2 linked regions of the Lepisosteus oculatus genome follow. The protein of the gene in region 1 purifies or fractionates together with the protein of each later gene. This does not show direct contact. Links are inferred from orthologs where the notes say so. Each region holds a gene or a part of one and is shown on either strand. Other genes may lie near its edges.

Region 1 (10,828 bases):
CTGGTGGGTAGGTAAGCTCATTTTCTAGAGAGATATTGTATGCAAAGATACCTATTCAAAATAGATATATCTTAATATAAATACCCAAAAAGACACATAAGAATTCAAAAGGCATGAAGAGCTAGCAGTAATTAAATGCACAATAAGATAAACTAATACTTCTTGGCATTTATCATGTAGTATATCTGTTCTTTAAGGTGCCTTGCTTTCCATTTCAAGGTACTGCATACTGTACCTGACACAACACCAAAACAAGAATACCAATGTGTCTATCCCTGTGTGGTAATTCATAAAAAATAAATGTATAAATGGAAAGGATCATTACCATTCTTACTTCTTGGTAGAAGAAGAGGAGCTTCTTTGTTCCATTTGGTGCAAAGAATTCATCGATCATGTTAAACTGGTGGAGCAGAAAAGATTAACTTCAAGCAATACAAAACTGACTGAAATCCACATGTATTGTACAAATCTGGTGATAGTAATCAGTATTTATCTAGTGTACTGTATATACTGTATTATAGAGGTCACAAAAATAGACAATATTCACTATGACAATATAATGACATTATAATGAAAACAACAGGACCTTACAGTTCACTAAACATCATACAGATTCCAAATTATTCATTAGACTTAATACCTTTTCATCAGAAATTACCGCCTCCTCCACCTCTGTCTCTCCCAGGCCCACGCCGTCAGCCAGCTTGACAATAAGGTACTTGTGTCGGGCATCTAGCAGGGCCCGGCGCTCGTCCTTGGTGGCCTTGGCCTGTTTGGCCATCTCCTTCCTCGCTTCATTTGACAGCACTGTGGTCTTTTTACCAGGTGTCTGAAGCACAAACACGTCACCAGTTTATGTGAGCTGACGGGGGGGTGTAGGTGCAGATGCATCGTCTCATACAGACTACCACACTGGCTAGTCTATGTATGATTTCACTAATAACAAATAACAGTATTCATCCTCCTTCTTCAGAAAAGTGGAGTACTCATCTCTGGTGCAGGAAACCGTTAGGTAGATTTCCAGGAAAGGGCAATAAGCAATCAAACCTAAATGATATACTGTATATGTGAAACCAGACATTAATCTCCACTGAATGATTCTGACTTCCTTTAGTGTCATAAAGTTCTATTTCCTTAAGCACACAGACCATCAGCCTGTAATGGAGTCCCGTCATACAGTCTCAAAAAATCTCAGTATAACTTTTGGAGACTGAATAGTTGGGGTACAAAACTCTTGTACAAAACATTTGTACATAAACATACAGTATGTTGAATATGTTTGAAAAGAGTAGAATATTCAGTATACAGATATAAAATACTGAGGTCAACTAGCATAAGTACAATAGATCCTTAGATCAATCATCTTCAAAAAACTAAAGAACCTAGATGTGCTGATTAACTTCCTCACATTAATTGACTTTCTTAGGTTCTTACTCAGGAAAAAATCTGTAAGCTGAGGCTGTTTCAAAAACATAAAGGCTGCACTCACTGGTGTGGTCATTGTAGGAGATGATACAACAGAGGCTGCTGTGTGACTTGTGCCTTTGGGTTTCTTGGAACCTAAACGCCTGTGCCCTTTAGCTCCCTGATCTGTAAATACAGTACGTAGGGGGAAAAGTTATTCATTTTTATGACAAAATATTTTCTCAAAGTCGAATTACTGTTTCGTACATTTTGATTATTCTTGTCTACTTTATTCATCACATTTTGTCATTGTTGCTTTCACTCTTAGTGATTGAGGCATTACTAATGTTTTTATAATGCTACCCCAGACAGTTTACCACAGAAAAAACACAGTAAAATCGAATGCACTGCATAGTAATCTCAGGGAAGATAATATTTGGTTACAAAAAAGGCTTCCTTTTCCCCTTTAATCTAATTATTGTGTGCTACAGATGTAGGGAATAATAATTTCTTCATGTTTAAATGAATGAGGATACACCGCATAAACTGTAATGCTTAAGAACAGAACATTTCTGAGTTCTAATCACCAGGCAAGAGTGACAGCTTTGACACAGAAAAAAAAAAAAGGAATTGTGCAGCAACAATTTTCAGTCCTGTAGTGTGAAATCATAACAAAATCAATCATTTCACATAGGAAGAAAGAGGACCAAAACATGTCTGAACTTATCATTTTTTTCACTCATATACTGTGTGCCTAAACTAGAATATAACTGAAAGTCTAGTCCATCATTATCTCAGACGTCATTGTGGAAATACTAGACTATGATACATGGCAGGGACTTACCTTTCTGTATGTTGATAAGAGGAGGGGCGATGCCCTCATTTGTAAGTCTGGGTGAAGCTGCTTCAGCATCCTCTTTCTCCCCGGCCTCTGTGCTCACTTGCTGTTTCTCTACATCCTCTGTGCCCTCCTGTGGTTTCTCTTCAGCATCAGTGCCCTCCTCTTGGGGACCTGATAGCTCCTCCCCAGGACCTGTCTTCTCACTGTCAGACATCTGTAATCACATATTATTGAACATTAGTTCACTTGCACCCCTAATTTCGTAAAGGCTAATCACTGTACTTGGGTTCTAATTCCTAATATAATCTGCAAACTGATTAGTTTAACATACAGAAAGATATTGGATCCCCATAAAGATCAGTATGCCACATATAATAATGTTGGAAAAGATCTAAAAAAACACAGATCTCCAGTAACCAAGATATTTTACACTACACAGCTGTATTTCAGTGACAATTTCATTTGCCACTGCAATAAAAGGCCGGTTGCAAAGCCAAGTCTTCAAGGTGAAAAAAGAAACCAGATTGTTTTCAGACGTTAGGCAAACATGAAGCTGGTGAGCGCAGAACAGGGACACGAGACCTCCAAGAAAATCCAGGGTGTTGATGGACCAGTAGGTGGTACTATTCCCCCTGGACAACAGTTTTCAAAGCAATACCCAGATATGGTGCCTGGATACTCTGAGATATAGGAGGTGCGCTGCCCTCAGCTGTGTAGTGGAGCTGAATTCAGTGGCTGATGAAGTGGGTACTTCCGATACTATATGTACAGTATAGTGATTTAGGATCCTTGCTATATATAAGGATTAATTATTATAATAATAGCATGCAGGTTAGGCTCTGAATTCGTGGTACAAATAGCCCATTAAAAACATGATAATACTTTTAGTACAACTTGAATTGAAAGACATCATGTCATGTTTATGAACTAAATAATATTTTTAAAAATGGGGAATGATTATTAGAGTATAGGTATAAGAATATAAGAAGAGTTACAAATGAGAAAAGGCCATTAGGCCCATCTAACTCATTTGTTTATTTTTTCAGTAATCAACCGATGATCCTAAGGTTACTTCCTGCCAAAACCTAAAGGTACTCCTACAGCCCCTTGTGTAAAAAACTGTCTCCTGTTCTCAGGTGTAAATGCACTTCCTTATAGCTTCAACTTGTGTCCTCTACTTCGCGTTTTATTGTTGTTTCTAAAGAGGTCCACTGAGGATTCTGAATATTGTACTTTAACGAGGTCCACATGTCTTCTCTGTTCAGTTCTTTTAGTCTGTCAGTGTAGCGCTTTCCTTTGAGCTCAGAAATGTATCTGATATTGTATAAAACTGTTGTGAGCTGTGTGATTAAAAATGCAGAATGATTATCTAAGATGATATGTACATAAAAGCCAAATTTTAAAAAGCACACTCTGGTGAGTTCACAATTGTGTGTATGCATAATATGAAACCTCAGTAGTATGTTTTCTTGCCTTGTCTTGTACATAAAATACACGAGGTAAACAGTCTGTATTAGGATTAAGAAACCATTGTGGACTGAAACCATTCTAGTTTTGCCTTTTGAACAATATAATGATAGTCTCAAAGCAGCTAACCAATCAGAGAATGGCTTAGATATGTCATTGTGACCTTGACTCTCAATAGCAAGAGAACCTAGTCACCCTTCTGAAATGAAGGTATTGTGAAGAAAAGTAACTGAATAAATGCAATTTAAACCTTAAGCAAAACACAATTATGCACTTAAATGGCCAACATAGGGAAAAATGATAAAAAATAGACATTCTCATGCTTAATCTGTTTACTATTTTAAAAAAGTAAACATCCTAAATAAAAATGAATATGTGTAACTTTGGTTTATTTGAATACTTTATGTATCTGTTTTACTTGAGCTGATCAAAAGCCTCATTTTCTAAGAATGACTTGACAACTTGATGAAATAACCTGATTAAATGACCATTTCACAAACACAACAAACGAGAAACTAATACAGAGTATCCTTCCATAGCGACAAGCTGCTTATTCTTGGTAAGCGTTGTGGCTAAAATGGATTCTAAGAGCTATTATTTATTATTAGACCAAAACCAAAAGTATGTCCAGTTTCAGAAAGCAGGAAAAGTTCTATGAGAAGGGAAAAGCGTTTACAAATTAACGTGTCATAGAACAAAAGTTGTTAAGTGCCGTCCAAGTCGCACACAAACAATAACAGAATGCAGTATTACTGAGGGCCTTCATTCAATTTAAAGAAAACTTAAGACATTCTCATTTATCTCAGCCTTCTTGGTTGTTACCTTTGCAGAAAGCAGAGCTCAGGTAGTCCTCCTGTCTGTAATCCACCTGTCAGTATTTTGTCAGTGTTTGTTTCTCACAGCTCTGTAAACCCTCTTTCCTCTGAAGTGCGAACTCTGTTTGAAAAAAAAATCCTCACTCCCCCCTCCCTCTGTCTGTCAGAGTTTGGGTGCTACCATGGAAACTACTGTAATGCAACTTGAACTAAATCCAGCTCACCCATTCTTGCCAAGCCAAGAACATTTACTATTTTACTGATACTCTCTGACTAGAGTGTTGCAGATAAAAGACTACAGGCTCCATTAATCTATTAAGATGGTACAGTACATTTGCCAAAATTACGTGCATACACCTACTTCTACACATCTGTTCCTTGCTTTCATTGTTATTCTTCCAATTTTATTCAAACCAGTACACTTTGCAAGAAACAGTGCTATAGCAACCCCATACAACAGAGTTGCTCAAGGCATACTCAGTTGTAAAACCAGTAGCACAGCATTTTGTTTTAAATTCTGAAGTCTTATAGGTCTTTACAAGTAAACACAGAAATGATCATTTAAAATGACTAAAATATATTTCTTGTAACCCACTGAGACAACAATGTACTGAACATATTTGAATCCAATTTAATGCATCAGGACTATTCCACACATACACACTTTGTTGAAATGTCCTGCTTTATGAAGAATTTGGAAAGGCGTTTATACTTAGTTATGATGCTTGAGGCTAATGTTATACTTCTCGTTCTTGTCTGGTACGTTTTGCTGTGCTTTGATGGTATTGCTCACTTGGCAAATACTTTCATTTTATTTTCTTACGGTGAAGAGAAGGGAAGTAACAAAATATGATGTGTATGACTTAATCAAAACAAAGTTATCTTTATGGAAAAGGCACTGATGAAGCAAGTGATATATGAAATGTCACCCCAGGAGTCGTAAGTTAAAAAACAAGTGAGCGTAAGGTAAAAAAAAAACTTTTTTTGAATTTATAGGTACAGTTTTGTCAGTAGTTTTTTTTTTTTTTAGGTTTCATTGCTACGGTAACTGGTAGATGAATAGCTGTATATTTGACTCCCTGTAGGTAATGTGCTGCTCGGAGCCGCCAATAAAGGCTTTCTGATCATTAGTGAAGTCTTTGTCAGGCTGCAGAGAAGCCTCTAGGGGGGTAGTGCTGTTTCCTAGCACCTCAAACAAACCTTGAGAGGTGCAATGACACGCGATATGCCAGATTTTTCCCTTGTCATTATCGAATAGGATATGCTGATATGAGACCGAGTCCCCGCACCCACCCATCATTAAACACTCATCAGTTTAAATCTTTAAACTGAAGAGTTTTAGGAATAGCTTGCAAAAGCAATGCGGACATGCTTTGACGATTAATACGTTAGCTGAAAACAAATCACATGAGCGATGTTATATATAAACATTAAACATGGATTCAGCATCAAATATACTGCATAACATATACGAAGCTTCACCGAGTTGTCTTTTTTTTTTGCTGTCTAAATGTGTTTTCGCATAATGCTTTTAAAATACATTCAGTCTTTGTTGATAATTCCTTGGACAATAGGAAAGCAGGGTGTGGGGGCTACTGCTAAATTTCATATGACATTAAAACTCTGAAAATTTACTTAAATTGTTCGCAGTTAGCTCAACATTAGTATGTCACCGTAGACTGAAACGATCAACCTCAAGCCGATTACTTTTTATATAATCTCGGTATTTTATTAATAAATTGGTCTCATTTGAAACTGCCATGAGACCACCACAGAGCACAGACGCATTTCGAACGAGCTGTTTGTGATTTAACTCCCGGAAAATCAATCAACCATGTTTCCATGGCAAACGCAATTTCCTGGGAACCTGCCGTAACCAAGGAGCTGGATTGGAAACTTTGGATTTACTTCCGGGTGTATGTCACAGTTTCATGTTTCCCTGACTTCTCTATACCCACGATTGTTTTTATTTTTATTTCTGCTCCCGATTTAACGTCGGTGCAATATTCGACCTGTGAAAAGCGTCCCCACATTAAATGATTTTCACTTCAGTTACTTTTGCTTTGTGGGAGCAGATCCGGCCAAGACTCTCCTTGGTAACGACGCTTTAAGCAAACAATTTGGTTTACAACAGGTAGTGGCTGGCACACAGCACTGGTTGACAGTTTGTGATTTAAACAAAAAAACTTTGGCAAAAAAGATTCACAGCACGGAAAAAACAACAGTTCTCGGCCGATGGCAGATGACAACAGGCGAGGAGACGAGGATGAACGGGGTCCGGGAGCCGCTTACCAGATGTTTGTGGTGATGGAGGATCTGCTGGATAAACTGAAGCTGTTGGATTACGAGGAGGAGGTGCTGAGGAAGCACAACATGAAAGCTTTATCACGGTAACTGATGGTCATGCTTCACTAAACTGTCAACTGAAGGTGCAAGTAGACTTCAGCAGTTTATAAACCCAGATTGTATATCTTCCGTCTGTAGTGGAAATCGTAGAAAAATAAAGTTACGGTTTTTTGTGTTTTGTGTTTCGTCAAATTACGGTCACGTACCGTGCATATGAAGTCTCTAATACTCCATGAAAAAATACATCATTTTAAAAAATGCTTAAATTTGCCCGTAAAATCAAAAAAAAAAATCACAACCATATTGTTTTGCTTCTTTTATGATATTTATAGAACAACATTTGAGAATGTGTGTTAGATTAAAGGGTATGGTGGAAATATGAACGAGGGAGTAGTTCGTTCATTTGTTCATCGGTCTCACAGTGTTACTCTCTAAAGTGTTTGTGATAATAGCTGTAGCTGTCTCTGCCTCTACCTGGGAAACATTCAACAGCTCCACAGCGCCCTTACCGTACATACTGTACCTTGGCTTGACTACCAAACTGCACCTGGGATGTCGTTTGCTAGGCCCGTGTACCTATACTGTACACCTATTTCATGCGCAATATACTGTAGGGATCGCATTTCTGCCCATCAAGGTAATTGTCCCACATATTGTTTTTTTAAGGTTGTTCATTTACCTTCGTGAGATGGGGTCTGCTTTTTTAACTAAAACATTCTATCATGCTTCATGCTGTCAGTGCTTTATAAAGATTGCTGGTACTGTAGTATTTTATGAGAATGTTGTAGTCAGACCTATACACAATTCAGGGTACTGTTAAAGCTAAATGGTGCATTTTCTAAGAACTGCTAAAGAGAACTGTAGTAAGCAAGCTTCACCCTTTTCCACGTTTAATGAACTAATGTTTGAAGAATATACAGTTATTATAACTGATATAAAGTATGTGATCATCAGTAGTCAAATAAATCATGTAAATGTCTCTGAAAGGACGCTGACCCAGTTTAGGGTGATTTAATAGAGGATTTCATTGCGATGTGTTTTTCTTTCCTTTTCATTTTGCACCAGTGCATGTGTCTTTCTATGATATCTTATCATCTCGGAGTCTGTCAGTGCTCTAAAGCTCATTGAATACCCTTCAAGATTTAAGTAATGATTTGTTTATATTGTATTTCCTTTAGAGAGAATTCTAGGGTAGAATAATTGTTAATAATCACAATTAATCCTATTTTGAAATAACTAATATCAAACCTCTAAAACAAACAAAGCATAGAGTCAAATAAGATAAGGACAGACACTTCACTAGCCTTTAAAGGTAAACGGTCATAAACCACATTAATTATGCTGCCAAGGTCTGACTGCATGCTGAATTTTCAGAGCCATCAGGGTGATTTAAAAAAAACTTCTCTTTTCAGTCACTACTTCGCCCTTCCGACAAATCCAGGAGAACAGTTCTTCATGTTTACCACCCTTGCCTCGTGGCTCATCAACCAAGCTGGGCGACCCTTTGAGCAGCCTCAAGAATATGATGACCCCAATGCTACGGTCTCGAATATATTGGCAGAGCTCAGGGCTTTTGTAAGTATACCTGCAATGCAGGTGGCTAACCAAATATGCTTGTCTCTCTTTTAAGCAGTGTTTCCCAGTGTCTGCTTTACCACACATGAATAAATGTACCATTGAATATGAAGGCTGATAAAGATTGTTCCCTGATTTTGTGATCAGGGTCAGAACCAAATGGCATTCTTGATGTTACTTTCCATTTTTTAACATACAAGTTTTAAAAGCCTGCCTTACAACAAGAATAAACTATTTGAGATTTCTAGTACACTTCAGTGGGGTGCTGTCAGCATTTCCTGTCCAAAAAAAAAAAGTATCATCCCATAGTCTCCATATTAAAACTAACTTTTTTTTATTTATTAATAATTATTTTTTTACTTATTAATTGAATTACTCATATTTGTGTGCCTCAAAGTGGAAAAGGTTCAGAGACGCTTCTTTAGAGTAGAGGTTCACATCTATCGTCCTGAAGGGCCAACTATTCACAGGTTATACATGTCCTTTTCAAATAGGTATATCTTAAAGGCAGGGAAAATTCAATTTTAATAGGTATTTTAGCTGAAATGTATCCAGCTGACATCTGCAGAAGATTGAGTAAAGTAAAAAAAACTATAACTTTAGCCAGAACATTAACACTTTGAAAACTGTTTCATTTAAACAAAAGTAGGAAACCTGCTGGATTTTTGCCCTCAGGGACTGAAACTGTGCGTTTATGCTGTAGTGGAAAGGTGTCGAGTTGAGGGTTTTTCTTTGTTTTAATGTTAGGGTGGATTAGTGGATTTCCCTCCTTCCAAGTTGAAAACAGGCTATGGGGAATATGTTTGCTACGTGCTGGATCGCTTGGCAGAAGAGGCACTGAAACGGACGAGATTCACCTGGAAGAAGTAAACCTAAAACAGTTATCTTTTGCACTGCAAAGCAATGATAGCAAATTGTTAATTAGACACTTTCATGGAATGGAACAGGTCAAGGTTCTTCCCATGCTGAAAGGTATAGTAAAGAAACACTTTGTTTTGGCTGTGGAGCCTTCTTCTGGTGTTAGGGAGAGAAGGAAAGTAGCATTGTTTTTTTTATTCTGCATTTTGTATTTTTTTTATTTGCTACATGGAAACATGGGATGAACCTGTTCCTTCGCAGCCTACACATACTAATGCAGCTCTCTGCTTGAATACTTTTATGCATGGAATACAAGGCATTGCATGCTACTTACTGTACAGTACCTGGAAAGATTTGTTTTTTCTTTGCTGGAACATTTAAGATCCCTCATTGAACGAAATTCTGTCTGAATGATGTTCCAGGCCGAGTTACCCCAAAGAAGAACTTGAGGAGGAATCTGTGATGGATGATGATGCTGAACTTACGCTGAGTAAAGTGGAGGAAGAAATGATAGTGAGTATCTTGCACTACTTTAAGTAACTGATGTCTTGACCTGCTTTTGAGAAGTAGGATGTATTAGGAAGTATTTCCTCACAGACCTCCCTTTAGCTTTGGTTTTAGAGATGATGCAGCTGTTACAGTGGTGGACGTTCACAAAGCCTCCATGACTGAAAGTAGTGCTAGGCAGTTAAATTCTGTATATCACAGGACAAAATCAGCTCAGCTGTTTTTTAGCTGCTTTTATTTTTGAATAAAGTATACTGATGATAATTAAAAAAATGGTTTTCTGTACTTCTGCAAAAATAACATTTGAGGAAAATAAATCCTTATCACAAGTAAAAAGAATATAGTATGAAATTACAATAGTTGTGTTAATAACCTGTGCTTGCTCTTTTGCTTTGACCTTAACTATGGGGTGCTGATTTCTCAAAAACGCATCCTCATATGTAATTTTATTTTGTAGGTTGAACCGGATGACTATGAAGAAGAACATCTCATAGACTTGGAAGCACTGAAGACAAGGACAAATCAGAGTGTAAAACGTTTTTTTTTGCTTTTCTTTAAGACAGAATGGTGTTCCTTTAAAGTAGTCTTCTTATTACAAGATATTTACACAAAAAAACAGGTCAGAACATCCAAAATGGTTTCAACATGTAATATTTTGCCATGTTATAACTAGCTGTCCTTGTTTGAGGTATATTTCTGTTAATACTTACTTATGTTTTACTTTTTCTAATGTGAAATACAACTGACATAAACACTGCAAATAATAATTTAAGTCTGAACGTTTTCTTACAAGTGTTTCATTGGAATCTTACATTAATTCATAGTTTCCATGCAATCACAAAATGTTTTAAGACAAAGTATGTTAATTTAATTGATTTTATGAATTTATAGGAAACAGGTGAATCCTTAAAACCAGATGATATTTTGGAATCCAATACAGATGCTGCAGAATGGAATTTGGAAGTAGAGCGTGTTCTTCCACAGCTGAAGGTCACAATCAGAACTGATAACAAGG
Region 2 (11,134 bases), on another chromosome or scaffold:
AGCTGGTGTGTGGGGAGTGTACTGGCGCACTATGGCTGCTGTCACATCATCCAGGTGGGGCTGCACACTGGTGGTGGTGGAGGGGAGTCCCCATTACCTGTAAAGCGCTCTGAGTGGAGTGTCCAGAAAAGCGCTACATAAGTGTAAGCAATTATTATGATTACAATCCCAGTTAAAGCTAAATATCCTCTAGGAGTTTAACAGTGTTTGTACCACCTAATTTTCTGCTTTGCAGCTGAATGAAAAGAATTCAACAGCCGCGGCTGCTGCTGTACAGCAGGGATAGGGAAAGTAAGCTTCACCGGAGAAATTACACCCCCATCTTAATTTTTTCACGAGTTCTCCATTCTGTTCTTTTGCACGTTCTTTGCGTTGTCTCCTATGTGTCCATGGAACGCATCGATGCGGACTGGGGCCACAAACCGCCGTGTGTGTCTTGAAATGATGACTGCGTACTGACATGCGGTCCCGCAACAAGCTGCTCCGTAATGAGTTTTTCTTCTTCAAAGCGACACGCAGAGTTGACACGCCAATTTGCAGGAAACCTGGGGATGGGCGCCTGGAGCTGAAGCTTCGACTCTCAGCGGTAGATGACAAATGCTCGTTTGCGTCGGGCCCGAAGTCCACCCGGTCACTGCTGGGGTGTCACTGTCGCCCACGGACCTGTCGCACCTCGTTAGGCCAGCACGCCTTCATGTTTCACACAGGCGAAAGCCCACGCGTGTGGCGCCGCCCTTATTTGACAGCTGAAGGACAGCTGCGTGCGCGGAAAAAAAAACATCCACGCTAATCCCAACCGCAGGAGAGAGTTCTGAGAGGAAGTCCAAAGACACGCAACAGCATGAAGATTATCTGGGCATTGTACAGTAGACGACTTTCGTTCAAAACTGAAGTGTTAGCTGGAGCTTCAGCGCTCGCCACCACATATACAGTAGTATATTGAATGGAAAGTTATTTCAACGTTTAATTTTTACACGAAGTCGCTTTATGAACTGAAATTTCTGGTAGTGCGGCATAAAACCCCCGTCTAATTTCCAGGCTTCAGGGACGCTTCAGACACGAGCAGCGTGTGATACTTGCGGCTGAAAAAACCCTTCTGGCAAATCCCGGCGCTGCTCTGCTGCTGCTTTGTGTCAGTGAAACGGAGGACAGAAAACGAAGCCTTTTTGTTCTTTTCACTACAGCAGCCCCGGCTCTGCACATTTTAGAGCCGTCCTCAAGCAGCTGCCAAAAGCTATGTTAATTGTGTGTAACTGAGTCTATAATTGCTTAATTAACCAACTGAACCTTATCTGGAAAACAAAACCCCAACAGATCCTACCGTTGTCTTGGTAAAGACACGCGATTTCAAGAAATCCCACCTATCTGACAGCTACAGCAATGTGCTGTATAGCTAAGGTTAAAAATAAAAACACCCGGGGTGGCTCTCGGTCCATACAGAGCGCAATCAAGACAAAAGCTCAAATAAAGCGGTGATTTTCTTTTAATTACAAAACGTCTCAAGCTACCATCCATTCACTGATTTCCTGAACTGCATTAGCCTTCGAGTCACAGACAAACCCAGCAGACCCAGTTTGCAAGACGACACCCAGAACAGGACACACGTGTGGTGTGCAGTTCCAGAGACACATCCTGACTCTCCTGGGCAGCACGTCTTTGGGCTGCGAGAGGAAACCAGCGCATTCCGAGAAAACCTATACGAATATGAGGGGAACATGCAAACTCCACATAGACATCAAACCCTTCCCAGCAACACTGTTATAGCATCACATCAAAACCCACTACTTCTCCAAAAATACTCTTAGCAAGCCCAAACCTTTGATGAAACCATTAACGTTTTCTTTTTGGGGTTTTGTCTCACCGCAGTTACTGAAAGGTGCACGTTTTCCGTGACCCACACTAAGTATTATATTCCCGGGAGTGAATGTGTTCACTGAGCGTTTTGAAAGGAAGAATGCACCGGATTTTCAGATGGTGTACGGGTGACACCCCCCCAAAAATGAAGCCTTACTGCACCTGAGCCCTTCTCCGTCACTGTTTAACCGGCACAGATACCCGCATCCCCTACCTGTGGATTTTATTCCAGATGAGCTCTCGGTTACAAATTGAAACTTGAATTGACCCAATAATATAACCGATCCAACGTTTGGTTTTCGGTTCCTAGCTGGTTCTAACTATTGCATTTCGTCCGTTTCGTACGATTTCCGACCTGGAATAGAAAAAAAAAACTTCCAAAGGTTCCAATCAATTTAATTCAGGATTTAATTGAGTTAAGAGTTCGAGCGCACGGGTGTGGGATTAACGAGATTGCGTACCCTTGTCACAACATCCCAAATGGGTCAATTAAAAAACCCTTAGAACGTCGTAATTAGACTAATTAAATCAATAACCTATTCAATTAACTCATTTAAGGTTGGGGAGAACGAATGCTACGTTTCTCTACGCGACGCGGAATAAACATTTCCGACAGTTTCTGAAACACAGATTCCGTACCGACACACTTTCTGATGCTCAAAGTCGGTACCAGTGTTATAGACACTCTTTCGGAAACACGGGTTCGGTACCGAAACTCTTTCTGAAACCGAAATTCGTAGCCGGTATTATCAACACTCTTTCGGTAACATAGGTTCGGTACCGACATCCTTACCGAAAGAGAAATACAATAGAAAAAATCCAGAAGTTGGAGAACGGGAATACTTTGTATTGTCTGGCTCGTTTTTGCACTGTAGAATTCAGTCTTTGTTTATTGATAGGCAGCGCAGGGTTGTAGCATTCACACAGTCTTCCCATATATAGAAAACGAACTATGTAAGAAACGATTTGAGTTTTAATGCCCGGTGTTGCTCCTAAAAAGAAAAAAACATCTTAAATTTGAGAACTATTTGATACGCGCCCCAGCGCTCTTAAAGCAGAAAGCTAAACCGAACCAGCAACAGAGAAGCATTCGAGCTCGCGAAATTGGGCCGAACCTGTAGCTGGCGGCTCATCGCCGTGATTCGGACACATCCCCTGTTATCAACGTGAATGACTAGTCCTTAGATACAGTGATTCCCTGCATTAGAGCAACAAGGACACGAAGTCTTTTTGGACCCAGAAAGAAAAATACTCACCAACGAACGGCCCGCAGACAGAGGGCTCCCAGCCCGTTTGTTCCGGCTGCAGGGGGGTTACCGGCGGCTCTAGCTGCTGATCGCCGGTCCTTGCGGTTCCTGCGAACTTCTGCAACTGCTCAGCTGGAGGAGGGCGCGCACCTGCCTGCCGCCGCGGCGGCCGGTCGTCTCCACCAGAGGGCGGGCTAGAGCCGGCGGGACCGGAGAGCTGAACGCCGAGCAACGCGAATGTGTTGGATCATCCTCATCATTATTAATAATAATTATTATTATTTCCGGGCGCATTACATAACCATAAACCTCATTAAGATTCGCCCTATCGCAGTTTGATCAACTTTATTGGAAGCAGGGTTGTCTAAGATAAACTAGTCAATACCTGCATTGCGGTTAAATGCGTTTTTCTTAGGACTGACTGCATGCGTGCCATTCGGGTTTTCCAGAGCAGAGATAACCCCAGGTTGCCCGTTAATTTTGAGGGAAAACAAGAATAACAAGCGAAACTTCGGAAATAACTTGATAAATTTGTGCAATGAAATGCTATTACAGTATGTCGTGCTTTGGTAAAGAATACAAAACTGTCTGGCCATGCCACGTAATTCACATTTTCTGCTGCTGAATTTGTGACAGTTCTCCACAGAATGAAGGGGTAGGTTCCGTTACTGGTAGCAAACATGCCAAGTATCTTTGTTATCATAATGTACAGCAAACTGCCAGTAGCAGGGATTACTAGCAGGAGTACTAGCAGGATTTAAAAATATATATATAGTATCCTGACATCTCTTTTAGTCCATTTGCGTCCCGGGATAGTAATTTTATTTTGCTTGGCCGTGTCGTTAGGGAGAAACACGTCAGAAGAATTGCCAGAAACGTCGAGTTTAATTTTAGTAGCGAAGTAACAGGTAAACTCACTGCGAAATCAGTATTTGTCTTCGTCTCTCGGGCAGGGTAGCGAAAATTGTTTTGGTTAAATCGGAGCCCCCCCGCGCTCCTGAACCGTGGAGCTCGGCTCCTGCTTCTAATTATCTAATTAACAGAGACAGATCCGGGAAAGGGCCCTTCTGCACTTCACCACAGACCTGCAGAGGTGATATCAAGATTGTTTGACGTAGACAGTCTGACACAGAGCTGACCCCCCGCTGAGAAGGCAAAAATAAAATACCCTTGCCCACGCCAAACCGAAGCGGTGTATATTGGTTGGAACTGTTCTGTTGCCCAAGTTAAGAAAGGTCACAGGCACGATCTACAGCTGAATCTCACTGGTCCTAAGGCGTTGCAAATCTTTTAAAGTTTTTCCTTTTGTTTCAGTGTACGAGTTCTGTTCTTGTGCAGAAAAACAAAAATGACGGAAGCGAGTTTGCAAGTTAATCTGTTTTATATAGCGCCTCCAACGAGGCATCGTCTCAAGCAGGGCTTGCCCTAGCTCTTGAGAGGCCCTAAGATCTTGGAAAGCTCCCCCACCCCCCGAGATCACAATTTGCGCAAACACTACTATTAACCGCCCCACGACAAACTTACAAACTTATTTTACCATTTAAAACAAATACATGAACTATATAACTAGAAATCTTTTATCAACCATCTTCTAAGAACTTGTAAACTAGAACAAGAGGCACGCATTTTACAAATGAAGAGTGAATCTGTGAACTTTTAGTAAAACACCTCAAGCAGTCTGGGTGTCTAGCTAGAAAATGTAGATTGTCCACCGTCCGCTGGTTACTTGAATCTGACGGACTCCAATCCAAATGCATTATTCGTTTACATGACTGACTTGATTCGGCGCACCTCTGTTTTGATAGGTACTGTACCTGCTTTTGCAAGATGATGTGCGTTTCCCAGTTGGAACTACGTGATTTTAATTTTAAACCATTTGGCAAATGGACAGTTTGCAACCCAAGTGAAAGGTCACTTGGAATATCTCATCACATCTTCTTAGATGTAACGGAAGATTAATAAAAATTGATCATCACAACATTTACCACTACCCAATTAAACGAACACCATTTGGTGTAAACCGTCTTTCGGATGAGACGTTAAACCGAGGTCCTGACTCTCAGTGGTCATTAAAGATCCCTGGGCATTTCTCGAGAAGAGTAGGGAGTTATCTCGGTGTCCGGGGCAAATTTCTCCCCCCGACCTTTACCGTGGCCTCCAAATTGTCCCCATGTGTGATAGGCTTGCACTGGCCCCGAGATGGACTGACGTCCTGTCCAGGGTGTACCCTGCCTTGCGCTCGTTGCTTGCCGAGTAGGCTCCGGCTTGCCGCGACACCGTGTGGTATAAAGCGGTTTGGCAAATAAAATGACCCGACATTTGGTGTAACAGCGGCCGAAACCGCAATGATATTGCCATTTTACAGCGAAGATGAGCCATTTACTACACATTGACAGCAAAATAAACTTCTACTCTTTTATTCATAACTAATAATATTATAAGGTAATTTTATAACTAACAAACTTTAACAGCCCTAGACTAGCACAGCAGCAACAGAAAGAGCGCCTGGAATTTTTCGCTCACATTTGAAAGTGCCGATTAAAAAGGTTGTGGTGCACAATGAGGCCCCCTTGTGGCCACGGGCCCCCAGGTAGTCCCATAGTTCGCCTGCGGCTATGGTCGGCACGGAGCTAAAACAATTACAAAAAAAAACAATCATCCAAAGACATAGGTATCCACAAATTAAACAGAAAACTAAACAAATAAAAGCTAGACATAACTGCGTAATAAAAGTTATGATATGAAAACATTTATACTAGGATGTAATATACTGTAACGTTGTCTCCCAGTAATTAAGTAGTGACTAACTCAGTATTTACTGTCTGTATTAGCTACCATTTTGCGGAATTAATTATTAATTTGAAATAAGACCTATCGAAACTGTTTAAGGCTGTATCCATCTTGGCATCCGCTCTGTAATAACTATAAACTCAAGTGATCTGGGATTCAGACTGTTCTAGTCCAATTGCTTACATATCCCGGCATCGCTGTGATGCTGGCTGCCCACTGTTAATCCTGACAAGAGCTTCACACAAAGAAACCCAGACTCGAAAGAAAGAAACGCCCTCTTGTGCACAGTCTCTCCCAGGCAGAAGTTATATAGACAAGTTGGCTCGACGGTTGTTTCAAACTGACCCAGTTACAGCGGCAGCGGTGAAGAGCTTGTCCGCTTGGGAAAACGGACCGGCGCACTAAATTGGAGGATGGACTGCTGAGGACTGGGTCCACTTCTTCAGGCTTCAGTCAAGCCAGAATAAAAGGGTAAGGCAAGTTAAAAATAGAATGTAAATGTAGGAAAGTACACTGAGATCAAAACTAGAAAAAGCACAGAGAGTGACTGTATAGTTATTAGCACAGCAAAACCGAGCTTACAGTGCGATTTCATTATACAAGTATAAGCTGTTGGGGGAGTGGGAGGAAGGACAGCAGCCTGGGCTCCCGTGGGCTTCATTGGCACTGTACACTGCTCTAAAATGTTCCCCGTCTTCTTATTGTGCTCTTATGAATACTGTGTGCATGGTTGTGTGCTATTAGGGACTCGTTATGAGGTTTGTCTTCTCCAAGCTTCCGTAGCGCAGGTTTGTTTTGGATTCCATAGAGACGGGATAAGCGGTAGAGAAGCTCGCAGGCCAGTTATGATAAATTGTAAGTATAGGTAACGTTACTATTAATTAATTAGCGTCTTTCTTCCTGAAGGATGCCGAAGAGAAACCCGTCTGTTGAAGTATACAAGCTAGGCACAGACTAGACCGTTTAAAAGTAGCATGTAATATATAAAAATAGGGAAAATTAGAACATTTAAGGCACTAAGATATACAGTATGCGGCACAGTCTGGCCCTCTGAGGCGACTTTGGTATTTTTCTAAGAACAAATGTACTTTTGATTTTGCCTTCGAAACTGACTTTAAGACATTATTAATGGTTTGCTTTATCGGTCTCCTACGTGGGTTATTCTAAAATGGGACTCGAGTTAAGATTACGCAAGACTGCGAGCGAGACGAGATCAATACAAATCCAAATGATTAAAATGTCAGCCTTTTGATTTTTGCTATGGGTAAATACGTCTAAGAACATGGGAATGGATTCAATTTCTTGCGGTTACGGACTCCTTATTTTCTGTAACACCCAACAGTCTGAAGGGAGGTTGAAGTCTTGTCCCTCTTTTCAATTCAAAGGGCTCCCGGGAAAGTCAGTCCGGATCAGCCTGCGAAATAAGTACTTGGAAGAGAAAAGACCGCTGTCTCCACACAACCGGACACCATGTCTTTCAGAGACCTGAGAAGTAAGTGCTGAGCAGAAATTCTACGTGACCAGATTTCTTGATTTCTTCAAGTAAACCCCTATCCCCATCAAACGCTGGCCCATTTGACGCATTTGTTGTCTTATAGCTAACGGGTCCGAGGATTTGTTATGAAGAACCATTTCTTTGTTTTAACAGATTTCACAGAGATGATGCGGGCTTTGGGGTACACTCGTCTCATTTCAATGGAAAACTTCAGGACCCCCAATTTCACCCTGGTGGCAGAGATCTTAATCTGGCTGGTGAAGAGGTTTGTGCCTCTGCACTGTTTTTACTGTCAATCAGAATGGCAGACGAACAGCAATCCGAGAGCCATATTAAACCTAGAATACTTTTCTGTTGTACTTGTGCAATAATGTGCAATGATTACTTCAGCTTCTAATTGCTTCAGCTCCTTAAAAACACCAGGAATTTAATAATAATAATAATAATAATAATGCAAAGGAACAAGTAATAGGTTTATTCCATGCTGAAAAAAAGAAGAAAGAGAACACAACGTTTCGGCCGTGGAGCCTTCTTCGGGTGTCTTCTTCGGGAGCCTTTTTGACACCCGATGAAGGCTCCACGGCCGAAACGTTGTGTTCTCTTTCTTCTTTTTTTCAGCATGGAATAAACCTATTACTTGTTCCTTTGCAGCCTACGCATGCTGACACAGCTCCCCACCTGAAATAATAATAATTGCTTACACTTTTATAGCGCTTTTCTGGACACCATTCAAAGCATTTTACAGGTAATGGGGACTCCCCTCCACCACCACCAATGTGCAGCCCCATCTGGATGATGCGACGGCAGCCATAGTGTGCCAGTACACTCCCCACACACCAGCTATCAGTGGGGAGGAGAGCAGAGTAATGAAGCCAATTCATAGATGGGGATTATTAGGAGGCCATGATTGGTAAAGGCCAATGGGAAATTTGCCATAAGATTGCCTAATTCAATCCCTGTCCATAGTCTCCTTTCCTGCCCTTTAAGTGTTTTTCTGCATATTTCACACCTGTAGATACGAGCCACACATGGATATTCCCACTGATGTGGATACAGAGACAGACCGGGTTTTCTTCATCAAAGCTGTTGCTCAGTTCATGGTAAGTCTAAACCTGTGTTGGTTCTCTTCAAGTTGCCTTTAAGTGCACTGACTGTAACTAAAACCTTAGTTAAACATCTGCTTGTGCTTTCCCTTTCAGATTTTGCTTTCTGTGCATCATCAAATTTACTTTTCTGCTTAACTCATTATCTTGCTATTATCTGTGCTGTGAATCTGACAACGCTTCTAAAAGTATTCTAGTGTATGGCAGCAACTTAAGCAAATGAATCATTACTTAGAGAAGGTTTGGAGATTCAAAAATTAGTTTTAGGCTGTGTTTCCAGGAACATTCCTTAATCCTTATGAATTATTTATTTTTGTAAACTAGGGGACAGCAGTTTATGCTAGAATAAATACTTTAATTAATTTACTCTTAGTAAACATAACAAAAGTACACACAAATCTTCTTCTTCTTCTTTTTCACAGCCTTAGTCCCAGACTGTCCTGGGGTCAGCTGCTTTGGTTGCTCTTCTCCACTTGTCTCTGTCGAGCACATCTTCCTCACTCACTTCACATACCTCCATATCTTTTCTCACACAATCCATCCATCTCTTTCTAGGCCTGCCTCTTCCCCTGTTACCTTCCACCTCAAATTCCATTACCCTCTTTGTTACTTCCTCAACGTCCCTCCTCATGATATGTCCATACCACCGTAACCTCGCCTCTCGCATCTTCACAAATTATGTTATAAATAACGTTGATGCCATTTGTCTGTTCTAACAGACTGGTATTATCACCCCACTGTCTCTGTATGTGAAAGATAAGGTTCCATGGTGAAACCCAAGTCCACAGTCTGACATCTCTCACTGAGGTTTTCAGTCTCTGATCTTTCCTTCTAGACCAGGGAGCTGTGTTCTCTGGCTTCAGGTCCACAGCATTAGACTCTCGAGCTGAACACCTAGGAGAGTGCAGGCTGACCAGTCACAATGGACGGAACATCATTCATGGCCATAGTTGCAATCTGTCAGGTTTCATCAAATTAAAGCCATGCGTTTTTATACTGTAATCACCTCCCTAATAGAGTGAGAGAGACCCTGCTAGAGTGGAACACTGCCAAGGCAACAAGGCTTGAAACCATGCCTTATACACAGTCCAGGGCCACAGACAGCTGTCACGTTGCTGCAGGAAGACTGAGACATCTGTTGTATATGAGCACGTAAATCCTTACTATGTGATTACAGTGCAAAAACCTGAGATTAAAAGCGTGTACAGTCAAGGGAGGTAGACTAAAACAGCTGTGGCTTCTTAGATGGCAAGAATGTACAAAGGTTAAAAAGGATGCTCTGTGCTTGACAACTTGTGATGTATAGGAATTAATAGCAGTAGACCTGCCAAGCAAATACAATTACCTTAACTTGTTTTCAAAAGGAGCTGCAGTGACATACCACAAGCATAATCTCCTAATGTCTGAGGAGCAAAGCCAAATTCAAAGCATGGGAAACAGACCTCAGAGGATAGGATACAGCAAGAAACCAATGTGAAAGATGAGTGGTTTCAAATAAAATAGTATATTTTTTCTGTTTAAAGCACTGCCTACTTTTGCTCTGCATAATAGTCCCTGGTGCTCAGAATCTATTCAAGATCACAATGAATATCTTTAGTGCTCGAATGGACAAAAATAACTCTTACACATCCCCATCATTTCTATTGAACAGCCCTAACAATTTGGTGCTGCAGACCTAAAAGCTTAATGCAGTTTGCAAACAAAAGACATTCTTCAAAAATTCGTTTTTCTGTAATTTTCCAGTCACTTGCTGTAAGCCCTTAAAGGCAGCCTCCCATACTAGTAGCTAAGTCCGCTCCTAGCTTTGTATTAGTGACACCTGGCCAGCCTGATCAGTCATGTCTCTGTGAAGTCACTTACAGTAAGTCAGCCTTCCTTCCCGTTGAACAACATACTGAGAAAAAGATCTAATCTGCTTCTGCTTGACAGCAATCATGGGATGTGTGGTCTGTCCTACTGCTTTCGAATGCAACACTGAATATTTTGTATCACTGATATTTTGGTAGGGTAGTACAGCTGTACCTCTTTTAATGAATGTTCCGTTTTTGAAAATTCAATACTACGAAGTATGTGAATTCTTTCCCACATTTCAAATAACGAAAGCCAACTCCGAAACTACACAGAAGCAATATGAAGAAACATTTCGAAACCTCCGCCCTATGTAGAGAGTGAAGAGGAAGGCGTCATACGATGATAAGACTTGATTCATATTGAGTGTTCATATCACGTTCCACTAACTAGTGTGGGTGAGAGCAAGCACTGAGCCTACGGAGTGGCAGGAGAGACGTTCACACCATCTTGCTTCGTGCGTTGCTCGCTATTGTGTGTGCTCTTACTTTTCGTGTAAGAATATTTGTAGTTTAGACCTTAAAGATTCATGTGCTTACTGAACATTACAGTACTGTACGTAGATATGATTAATGATGTCGATCTAGTTAAGCAGTGTTTTCTATTACTAAAAACACAAACTACAATATAAATCTTAGTTATTATCATTTCTTTTGTAATTTTTTTATAATAATAATTGCTTACACTTATATAGCGCTTTTCTGGACACTCCACTCAAAGCGCTTTACAGGTAATGGGAACTCCCCTCCACCACCACCACCAGTGTGTAGCCCCACCTAGTGAAGAAAGTAAAAGCG

The links. Proteins that work in one complex are often made in the same cells at the same time.
Region 2: the proteins of ift57 (region 1) and cluap1 purify together in Homo sapiens (affinity purification with mass spectrometry; 4 studies listed by BioGRID and IntAct, counting the BioPlex papers as one, with this or other methods). This does not show direct contact. The link is inferred for Lepisosteus oculatus from reciprocal best matches to the Homo sapiens genes IFT57 and CLUAP1.

The regions. Positions count from the first base shown.
Region 1 is NC_090701.1:9,587,756-9,598,583, forward strand, and holds the start of ift57 (intraflagellar transport protein 57 homolog), read left to right. Parts: upstream 1-6,384; 5' UTR 6,385-6,762; coding exon 6,763-6,917; intron 6,918-8,285; coding exon 8,286-8,448; intron 8,449-9,195; coding exon 9,196-9,314; intron 9,315-9,728; coding exon 9,729-9,819; intron 9,820-10,270; coding exon 10,271-10,342; intron 10,343-10,704; coding exon 10,705-10,827; intron 10,828-10,828. Other genes in the region: dnah5l (dynein axonemal heavy chain 5), read right to left, coding at 326-400, 641-829, 1,490-1,590, 2,249-2,459. UniProt on the Homo sapiens protein: Required for the formation of cilia. Plays an indirect role in sonic hedgehog signaling, cilia being required for all activity of the hedgehog pathway.
Region 2 is NC_090714.1:6,842,412-6,853,545, reverse strand, and holds the start of cluap1 (clusterin-associated protein 1 homolog), read left to right. Parts: upstream 1-6,222; 5' UTR 6,223-6,362; intron 6,363-6,655; exon of another isoform or gene 6,656-6,746; intron 6,747-7,276; 5' UTR 7,277-7,361; coding exon 7,362-7,383; intron 7,384-7,539; coding exon 7,540-7,651; intron 7,652-8,401; coding exon 8,402-8,486; intron 8,487-11,134. UniProt on the Homo sapiens protein: Required for cilia biogenesis. Appears to function within the multiple intraflagellar transport complex B (IFT-B). Key regulator of hedgehog signaling.